2 linked regions of the Arabidopsis thaliana genome follow. The protein of the gene in region 1 interacts with the protein of each later gene in a pairwise test. Each region holds a gene or a part of one and is shown on either strand. Other genes may lie near its edges.

What was found. Proteins that work in one complex are often made in the same cells at the same time.
Region 2: the proteins of CIPK9 (region 1) and CBL7 interact in a two-hybrid assay, tested with the Arabidopsis thaliana proteins (one study listed by BioGRID).

Annotation. Positions count from the first base shown.
Region 1 is NC_003070.9:63,621-69,621, reverse strand, and holds CIPK9 (CBL-interacting protein kinase 9), read left to right. Parts: upstream 1-1,996; 5' UTR 1,997-2,109; coding exon 2,110-2,298; intron 2,299-2,724; coding exon 2,725-2,787; intron 2,788-2,872; coding exon 2,873-2,944; intron 2,945-3,064; coding exon 3,065-3,172; intron 3,173-3,279; coding exon 3,280-3,360; intron 3,361-3,461; coding exon 3,462-3,515; intron 3,516-3,757; coding exon 3,758-3,883; coding exon of another isoform or gene 3,884-3,889; intron 3,890-3,969; coding exon 3,970-4,059; intron 4,060-4,165; coding exon 4,166-4,291; intron 4,292-4,404; coding exon 4,405-4,512; intron 4,513-4,604; coding exon 4,605-4,721; intron 4,722-4,814; coding exon 4,815-4,871; intron 4,872-4,965; coding exon 4,966-5,052; intron 5,053-5,146; coding exon 5,147-5,224; 3' UTR 5,225-5,455; downstream 5,456-6,001. Other genes in the region: AT1G01130 (CBL-interacting Serine/Threonine-kinase), read left to right, coding at 5,811-6,001. UniProt on the Arabidopsis thaliana protein: CIPK serine-threonine protein kinases interact with CBL proteins. Binding of a CBL protein to the regulatory NAF domain of CIPK protein lead to the activation of the kinase in a calcium-dependent manner. Involved in K(+) homeostasis under low-K(+) stress.
Region 2 is NC_003075.7:13,406,229-13,409,858, forward strand, and holds CBL7 (calcineurin B-like protein 7), read right to left. Parts: upstream 1,860-3,630; 5' UTR 1,746-1,859; coding exon 1,623-1,745; intron 1,553-1,622; coding exon 1,505-1,552; intron 1,394-1,504; coding exon 1,334-1,393; intron 1,259-1,333; coding exon 1,150-1,258; intron 1,027-1,149; coding exon 893-1,026; intron 779-892; coding exon 666-778; intron 563-665; coding exon 505-562; downstream 1-504. Other genes in the region: CBL3 (calcineurin B-like 3), read right to left, coding at 2,380-2,437, 2,535-2,647, 2,765-2,898, 3,019-3,139, 3,214-3,273, 3,399-3,481. UniProt on the Arabidopsis thaliana protein: Acts as a calcium sensor. CBL proteins interact with CIPK serine-threonine protein kinases. Binding of a CBL protein to the regulatory NAF domain of a CIPK protein lead to the activation of the kinase in a calcium-dependent manner.

The sequences.
Region 1 (6,001 bases):
AAGACACATTTTATGTTATGTATTACTAAATTACTACAAAAAAAACTCCTACAACTCCAAAATACACAATGGTTTAGATTTAGATATACATGTTTTTAGAACTAAAATTATTGAGGTATTTTATAATAGTACTCCAAGTTATAATTTCTGTTACGAGGCGAGAATAAACGTGGGAGAGGAAGGAAAAAAAGGTGCCGTGCGGTGCAACTAGATTTTACATATTTGTACACATATTTCACGATTGAATCTTTCAAGACATTATATGCTTTATCAAATTTTATATATATAACAATTAGATAAGAAACACAATCTGACCCGACTCTACTATTTATAATTATACGTATGAATCTCTAACTTCGTTACTAAAACGGCAAATACTAAACCCTGAAAGGAAACTGTGTGAGAAACAGTTAGGCCCCTTGACCATCTTTGTTCAACGTTGTCAACGAAAAAAAAATGGAACCATAAAGGATAATTAATTGTATCACAAAAAGACAAACACAAATTATTGAATATACCATCACTTATCAGTATATAATTTTATACAAATGCTTTAAATAACAAATATTATGTAGAAAAAGAGAAAAGAAACTTAACTTGGTCAATTTGATCATTTGTGTAAACGATGATGCGGAACATATGCGATAATAATGTTATTGGATGGCAAAAAAAAAAAAAAGTATTTTAGTTGGGCCCTAATGTTAATTCACAATCAAGCCTAAATTTGGTTAATGGGCCAATCTTTCTTATATATGTAGGACTCGGATGTTCGGTCTACTCGAACTATCTACAAACCAAGCTAAACCGAAAGTAAATACAAAATCAAACCAAATAATAGTTTGGTTTATATAGGTTTTAAATTTTAATCCATATAATCCAATAAGTTCCAACTCATAACCAGGAAAATAAAAAAAATGTGGAATGAAGAAGTTCAAATTGATAACCAAATGAATTGCTTTCATATGATGGTGACGTGATGTTTTTGTACCGGACTCAATTATTGGAACGAGTGGTTCATTGTGCATTATTTGCATTTTCTTTTGTTCGTAATATACTAACATATCTAAAAAATTATTGTATCATTATTACTAGTCATGCAATAAATCATCAACTCACACTGTCTGCCACACTTTTTTAATTTTTCTGCGTATTTTGGCATTATCATATGAAAGAAAATAAGAGAAACAAATAAAGGAAAGAAGAAAAATAAAAACATTATCACATTCTGTGAAATCTCTGAGTTTATCAGGAAGGATATGTGGGGTTCATATTCATACCGTTCCCTTTACTCACATCGTCACATGGAAAGATCAACTATTTCAATTATCTATTTATTTATTATCATATACTTTAAATAATCAAATTTAGAACCGTTACAAACAAAAATAAACAGCTACATCAAATTTAAACAAAAGTAAGTATATGCGAATATTATCATAGATTTAAACAAAATTTGACCAAGATATAACAATCATCATTTAACTACCAACATTTGATATATGTATTTATTGTTCTTAGGTAGTTTCCAACTTCTAACTAAAGACAAAAAAAAAAGTTATATTTAGAGAATATTTCTACATGAAAAGAATACAACTATATCAAATAATATGATAACAGTCAACTTTGAACATCAGTAGAATGGAATGAATCACTGAAAGATATACTCATATACACATAAAGATTAAGGACATCAAATCACATCCCTTACAAATAAAACCATATCCACATAAATTTAAAACCCCAAAATTTTCATAAAATCCATATACTTAAACAGGAGTTTCTGTATATAGTTACCACACAAGAACAAAATTATGGAATTTTTTTATATGAATGAAGAATGAACGTTACGAACGTACACAAGTACAAATAACACGGGACTGACGCGGAACAGAGCAAAATAATGATTTTTGACATTACGTGGCATACGGGACCCACAATACGCGCGTGACTCCCAGTCGCGCCTATTAAATCTCTCGCTCGTCCACTTTCTCTCGTCAGCCTTAAAACCAGGCAGCCACTAGAAGAAGGAGAGATATTGAGGGAGAAGAATCACATTGATAGATTCGCCGCCGATCTAGAGCCGTTGATTTTCTTAATCGGAAAAAGAAAATGAGTGGAAGCAGAAGGAAGGCGACGCCGGCGAGTAGGACGCGAGTAGGGAATTACGAGATGGGACGAACTCTCGGAGAAGGAAGCTTCGCTAAGGTGAAATACGCCAAGAACACCGTCACCGGAGATCAAGCCGCTATCAAAATCCTCGACCGAGAAAAGGTCTTCCGTCACAAAATGGTCGAACAGGTTCGTTAATTGTGTTTGGTTTGATCACGTAAAATGATTATGGATTTGTTTGTTTTTAAGTACTATAAAGAACAGTTTAATTTCGTGATTAGGGACCCACATGTCCTCCTAGGTTGGTGTTCGGTTATTAAGGTTAATGTTTGATTAAAGTGTTAACAATAATATTTTAAAATATCGAATTTTGTATGAATGTTTTTGTTTCTGTATATATCTACACGATGCTGATCTTAGTACGCATTGATCAAGATAACTATTAACTATGATATGGATATGGTTTTGAAGTTCGAGTAGCTTTGTTTTTGATTTGGTTCGATTTGAATCTGTTGAAGATTTAGTTTTGTATGCTATATATGTATGATTGGAAGTTATGAGCAAGATCTCGAAGATATAATGATCATAAAGTTTTATTTTTTTGTTGTTGTGCAGCTTAAAAGAGAAATATCTACAATGAAACTGATTAAACATCCAAATGTGGTTGAAATCATTGAGGTACGAAACTAATTAGTTATCATTCCTTAGATATTTTTTAAATTAAGTTTTGAATCTTAGCGTGTAAAACATCTCTCTGTGGTAGGTTATGGCGAGCAAAACGAAGATCTATATCGTTCTTGAGCTTGTCAATGGAGGTGAACTCTTTGATAAAATCGTAAGTAACCTAACTTAGAGAATCTTCCTCTCTTTTCTCTTCACAAATATTGACATATGTTCTCTGTCTTTCTCTCTTCTTACTCTTATGTTAATTCTTGGATTTAAATCATATACATAGGCGCAACAAGGGAGGCTTAAGGAGGATGAAGCTCGGAGATATTTTCAGCAGCTCATCAATGCTGTGGATTACTGCCACAGTCGAGGTGTCTACCACAGAGATCTCAAGGTCTTTCTTTTGTTTTTGTGCACTCTTCTTGTTTCCTGTGATTACGATATTCATTCTTCTTAGTTCTTATTCAAGTTTCTTTTGTTATCATCTGTTCCTTGTTGCAGCCTGAAAATCTGATCCTTGACGCAAATGGGGTTTTGAAAGTCTCTGATTTTGGGTTAAGCGCCTTCTCACGACAAGTTCGGGTAATGCCATTATATTTTTCACTTGGCAATTAATTTCTGATATATATAACCAAGATATCAATTTGAATGAAGTGTTCTAAGCATTGTTCTTTTGAATGCAGGAAGATGGTTTGCTTCATACAGCTTGTGGAACGCCAAACTACGTTGCCCCTGAGGTATTATGTACTAACTTTCAGCACTTAAAAAGGCAAAGAATATGAAATGTTCTGTAGATCCTCTTTGGAAAATAAGATTTTAAGGAATTCAAGAACTGCTAATACGTTTTTAAAAAGGAAGGAAATCTAACAAATGCTATACGTATATATAGACTTCATTTGCAGAATCTTCTTTATTTATGATGTATATAAGAGATATGCCTTTAATGTTGTCTACTGCATTGTGTTGGATTTGCTGGCAGGTTTTGTCGGACAAAGGCTATGACGGTGCAGCAGCAGATGTCTGGTCTTGTGGTGTCATTCTCTTTGTGCTTATGGCTGGTTACTTGCCTTTTGATGAGCCGAATCTCATGACATTATACAAACGTGTACGTGTAAATTATCTCTCCCTCTGCTTCTTGATCTTCTGCAGTACTTTTCTAGTCTCATCTTTGGTGTTTAATATATACTTTAGATATGCAAGGCTGAGTTTAGCTGCCCACCATGGTTCTCGCAAGGTGCCAAGAGAGTCATCAAGCGTATTCTCGAACCCAACCCTATTACCGTAAGTGCCTCTTACATGAAGTAATAGTTGTGAAAATGTGAACATGACATGCTGCCAACCATAGATTGTGCAAGAGCTTAAGTATGTACTTATTTCTGAAATGCAGAGAATAAGTATTGCAGAGTTGCTCGAAGATGAATGGTTCAAGAAAGGGTACAAGCCGCCATCATTTGACCAAGATGACGAGGACATAACCATAGATGATGTTGATGCTGCTTTTAGTAACTCCAAGGTAAACACCGCCATTTCCAAATTCTCCATCTGGTTGTGTATATCATAGTTCGGTTTAAGTAAACCAATGTATTGTTACCAACTAATATCACTCTTTTTGTGCTGCTACTCTAGGAATGTCTTGTAACTGAGAAGAAGGAGAAACCTGTATCCATGAACGCTTTCGAACTTATCTCTAGCTCAAGCGAGTTCAGTCTTGAAAACTTGTTCGAGAAGCAAGCGGTAAGAACTTTTTTCTACTTACAGTTTGTCTTGATTTTCTAAAATCATGCATAGGTTTTATCTAACTAAATCTGATTTGTTGTTGTTTGCAGCAACTTGTGAAGAAAGAAACGCGGTTTACTTCTCAACGATCTGCGAGTGAAATAATGTCGAAAATGGAAGAAACCGCAAAGCCATTAGGCTTTAATGTCCGTAAAGACAACTACAAGGTCTGTTCTTCTTCTTCTTCTTCTTCTTGATTTTGTTTGTGTCAACTAATGTCTTTGTAGCTTCGTTAAACATTGTTTAAGTAAACTTCGCAGATAAAAATGAAAGGAGACAAAAGTGGTCGTAAAGGTCAGCTCTCCGTAGCTACAGAGGTAAGAAAGAAAAAAATACTCCGGTTCAGTTCGGTTTTTGGATTTTGATGAATATCGTTATCTAATTGTTATGGTTTGGTAATCGGTTTAATAGGTGTTTGAAGTGGCGCCATCATTGCATGTGGTAGAGCTTAGGAAAACCGGTGGTGATACCCTCGAGTTTCACAAGGTATGTGATTCGGTTTGATCTTCATCAAAAACCGGTTCGGTTTTGATCCGGTTAACATCTCTAGTTTAGTGTTTAAATTGGTTTTATGTTTGAATCTCTTTTGCAGTTCTACAAAAACTTCTCATCTGGATTAAAGGATGTAGTCTGGAATACTGATGCAGCCGCTGAAGAACAAAAGCAATAAGAAATAACAAGTTGTTCAATTCAAAGTTTTTAATCAATGTTGAACATGTATAATGAATAGTAAACATTCTGGAGTTGGCAATATACAAGTATTGCTGACAAAAGAGCCAAACTAGAACTAGAAGTGGTCTATAGAGGTAGATCACCATAGGTTAGTCAATAGCCACATATGTGATCATCCTCAAACTCGGTTTGAAACCTATAAATCAAAGTTCAAACAATTCAATTAGGCAAAAAATACTCTGCAAGCTGGCTATTTGAGTATAGTTGAAAGTTGCAACGATGTTGTCGCTTTATGGCAACGCGTTACAATGACACAACATATATAACAATTTGGAAAACACAATGATAGAATTATTAAAGAGAGGTTATCTTAGCTACATAGATCTACGTTTGCAACCAAAAAAAAAAAGTTTTATTTTGATGTACAGTCACACATTGATGACGGAGTGGTTTCTAGTGAGGAGTTGGTGTTGAGCAGACCAACGTTAATTGCCCAATAAGTTGTGTGAGTTGTCTAATCTTTCAAATCAAACAGCCCGTAAAGCCCATAAAGTCGCAAATTTCGCATTCCAAAGTTTTTAAGAATGGAGAAACGTTCAGATTCAGAGAGTGTAGAGATTTTGGGTGATTGGGATTCACCTCCTCCGGAAGAAAGAATCGTAATGGTTTCTGTTCCCACTTCACCAGAATCTGATTACGCGAGATCGAATCAACCGAAAGAGATCGAATCTAGGGTTTCAGACAAGGAAACAGCGTCGGCATCCGGAGAAGTGGC
Region 2 (3,630 bases), on another chromosome or scaffold:
AGAAAAAGAGTGAGAGATGAGATTAGCTACGGAGCAACCCACCACTAAACTTAGTGGACCTGTGGGACCCACACTGCTTATGAATTTTGTTGTGAAAAAAATACGCGCTACGGTAACGCGTGAGGATCTATTTTTCCTTCTTTTTTTGTTTATTTTGTTTATTTTGTTAAATACATCCGGTTCGATCAAACCGGCGATTTCAATTTTGACTTGAGAATTCAGATTAGAGCATAGCCGATCATTGGTGTTGAGTTCTTCTCTCTTTTTTTTCTAGCAGTTTGCCCTTTCAATGCTCTAGCAGTTTGCTTTTACATGTCTCAAGATTAGTAGTAGATCTACAGATGCGAGGAGAAAATCATCAACGGATTTGTTTTTTTTCCACACAAAGGAACAACAAAATCTTGAAAATGTTGAGAGAGATTGAAAACAAATAAACATGATACATAATCAGAAAACAAACACAATTCCCAAACAGTCTCCTCTGCTAATATGCTATTGTTTTTCTCAGGTATCTTCCACTTGCGAGTGTAACACAAAGCTCGGAAATGTAGTTGTGATATCCCTGCACACAATATCAGATATCATGGTGTTAATAATACGTGATGCAGAAAAATTTGAAGTTGCATTGGCTAAACCTCGGGTTAGTCTTTGGTTTAGGAGCTCACTTGAGATACTGGAGAGTCATGTTCTTCAGAAGAAGAGGATGTCTAAAAACTAGGTCCATCCACTCTTCCTCATCGATCATCCCTTCATGTTTTGTGTCAGCTTGCACAAATGTCTGCCTCATAAACTCAAAAATCACTCTTCACTTCATATTCATCAGCTGCTTAAACTTAGTTGGCTATACTATAGACTAGAGTCGAACCAAAAAATAGAAGGAAGGAAAACACACCTTGTCGATTATACTCTCTACGATTTCGTCTGACTGGCTCATGCCGGACGCAGCAAGAGTAGCCACCACCAGTTGTTTCACCCCCTGCCTTTCGATAAAACCTTGCTGCTTAAGATCATATAGCTGAAACGAAACTGCCAAATAATGTTCCAGGTAACCGTTAATAAGCTTTCATGGAATATATATAGGTAGCATGTGAACAGTTTGTTTGTAGATGGTTAATATATCGGGTCTAGTTTTTGAGATCAGAGACGTACGGTCAATTTTATCATCTATAGGAGCAGATGGATGAAAGACAGAGAGAGCTCGGGCAAACTCCTCAAACCCAAGTAATCCATCATGATTTGTGTCGAACAAATCGAAGACCTGTGTGATAGGGTAATGTCATTGTTTGCAAATGGATTACAAAGACTTTTTTTGTTGAGAACAAAAATAAAATACCCTCTCTGAAAACAAGCTCTCATTTTTGTCAGTCTGGAATATGGCTACATGAAACTGTTCCTGATACAACAGAAATACAACAGGACACGTTATGGAAAATCTGTAAGACTTGTTGAAAAGAAGGAGTGCGTGGCAAGAAAGACATATATATTTATATATAATTCCAAATACCTTGTTCATTTCACCATAATAACACGTTACGCCTTCTACAACGTTACCCTGAACGAAGAAACACAGATTTATATCATATGCGTACTTAGCAAGAAAGTTACATATAATTTATACGAACCTCGTTTCTTTGGCAATCAACACCGCTGAGTTTCTTAAACACCTCATAGAGTGCCTTTCGCTTTTTCTGATCCGTAAAGCATCCCGTGGAGTTGGAAGAAGCTGAATTTCTTGTTGAATCCATGGAGAGTCGTGTAGATAGAAACTTTTTAGCCAAGAAAGAGAGAACAAATCGATGATCAAAAAAAGAGATTGTCAACGCGCTCTGATACCTATTCAGATCTTTGAGACAGGGAAAACATATATATTAGGAAAGACCGAAAGAGTAAGTAATTTATTCCTCAAAGTAAACGTGTTTATGCAGAACACAATCGTCACTAACTTTGCTAATTACTTTGTCAACTCTAACTGACAAAGTCAACCACAAGACTAACAAATCCGATTGTTGTAATGTTGCATCCGGTTCGATCAAATCGGTGATTTCAATTTTGACTTCAGAATTCAGACTAGAGCATACCCGATCATTTGGTGTTGGGTTCTCTCTTTTTTGCTCTCTATTATCACTTCATCAGTTTGCTCTTTATTAATAGGATTCATGTCTCAAGGTTAGTAGTATATCTACAGATGCGAGGAGAAAATCAGCAATCAAAATCAGGAGTAGCAAAAATACAGATTTGTTTTCTTTACTTTTAATTCACACAAGTAACAACAAAATCTTGAAAATGTTCAGAGAGATTGAAACAAATAGACATGATACATAATCAGAAAACAAACACAATTCCCAAATTGTCTCCTCTGCTAATATGCTATTGTTTTTCTCAGGTATCTTCCACCTGCGAGTGGAACACAAAGCTCGGAAATGTAGTTGTTATATCCCTGCACACAATATCAGAGATCGGTGTTAATAATAACACAGAAAAAATTGGAAGTTGCATTGCCTAAACCTCGGATAAGTCTTGGTTTAGGAACTCACTTAAGATACTGGAGAGTCATATTCTTTAGAAGGGAAGGATGCCTGAGAACAAGGGTTCTCCACTCTTCCTTATCGATCCTCCCGTCATGTTTTGTATCAGCTTCCTCAAATGTCTGTGAAAGAAGAAACTTAGAAACCACTCTTTACTTTATTCTCAACTGCTATCATGAGTTGGCTATACAACAGTGGAACAAGAATATAGTATCGAGCAGGGTAGGAAGGAACCACACCTTGTCGATTATACTCTCTATGATTTCGTCTGACAGGTTCATGCCGGACTCAGCAAGAGTAGCCACCACCATTTGCTTCACCTCTTGCCTCTCTATGAAACCTTGCTGCTTAAGATCATATAGCTGAAACGAAACTGCAAAACAATGTTCCCGGTAACTGTTAGTGATATTTCATGGGTTACATGTAGCATGTCAACATCAGATAAATTGTATAGATGGTTTCTCAGATCAACTTTGTAAGATCAAAGACGTACAGTCAATCTTGTCTTCTATGGGAGCATTTGGATGAAAGACAGAGAGAGCACGCGCAAACTCCTCAAACCCCAGTATTCCATTATGCTTTGTGTCAAACAAATCGAATACCTGTGATTGGTACTGTCAAGTTATCTTTCAAAAAGGATCTTGGCAAATGGATAACAAAGTCTTTTGATTAAAAAAGAAGAACATACCCGGTCTGCAAACAAGCTCTCTTTTTTATTTGTCTTGAACAAGGCTAACTGAAATTCTTCCTGAACGACAAGACAGGTCAAGGAAAATCAGAAAAGGATGTCCAAAAGACGTAGCAATATGCATGATTCGTGAGGAGTATAAGTGAGTGGCATAAAAGACATATAATGATGCCCTTCCTTCATACCTTGTTTATTAGCCCATCATCAATCACAGCACTGCTGATTTTCTTAAACAGCTCATAGAGAGCCTCTATTTCACTCACGCTAACTGCACCCAAACGAGTCAATGATCAAAACACAGAAAGAAAGATTTGCATTCCTCTTAACAGAGAGCATCAACTAGAGTAATGGCAAGCCTTTGAATCATACATATAACTGGAAAAAAAAAGTGCATGGAAGTTAAAATAAGATGGAAAA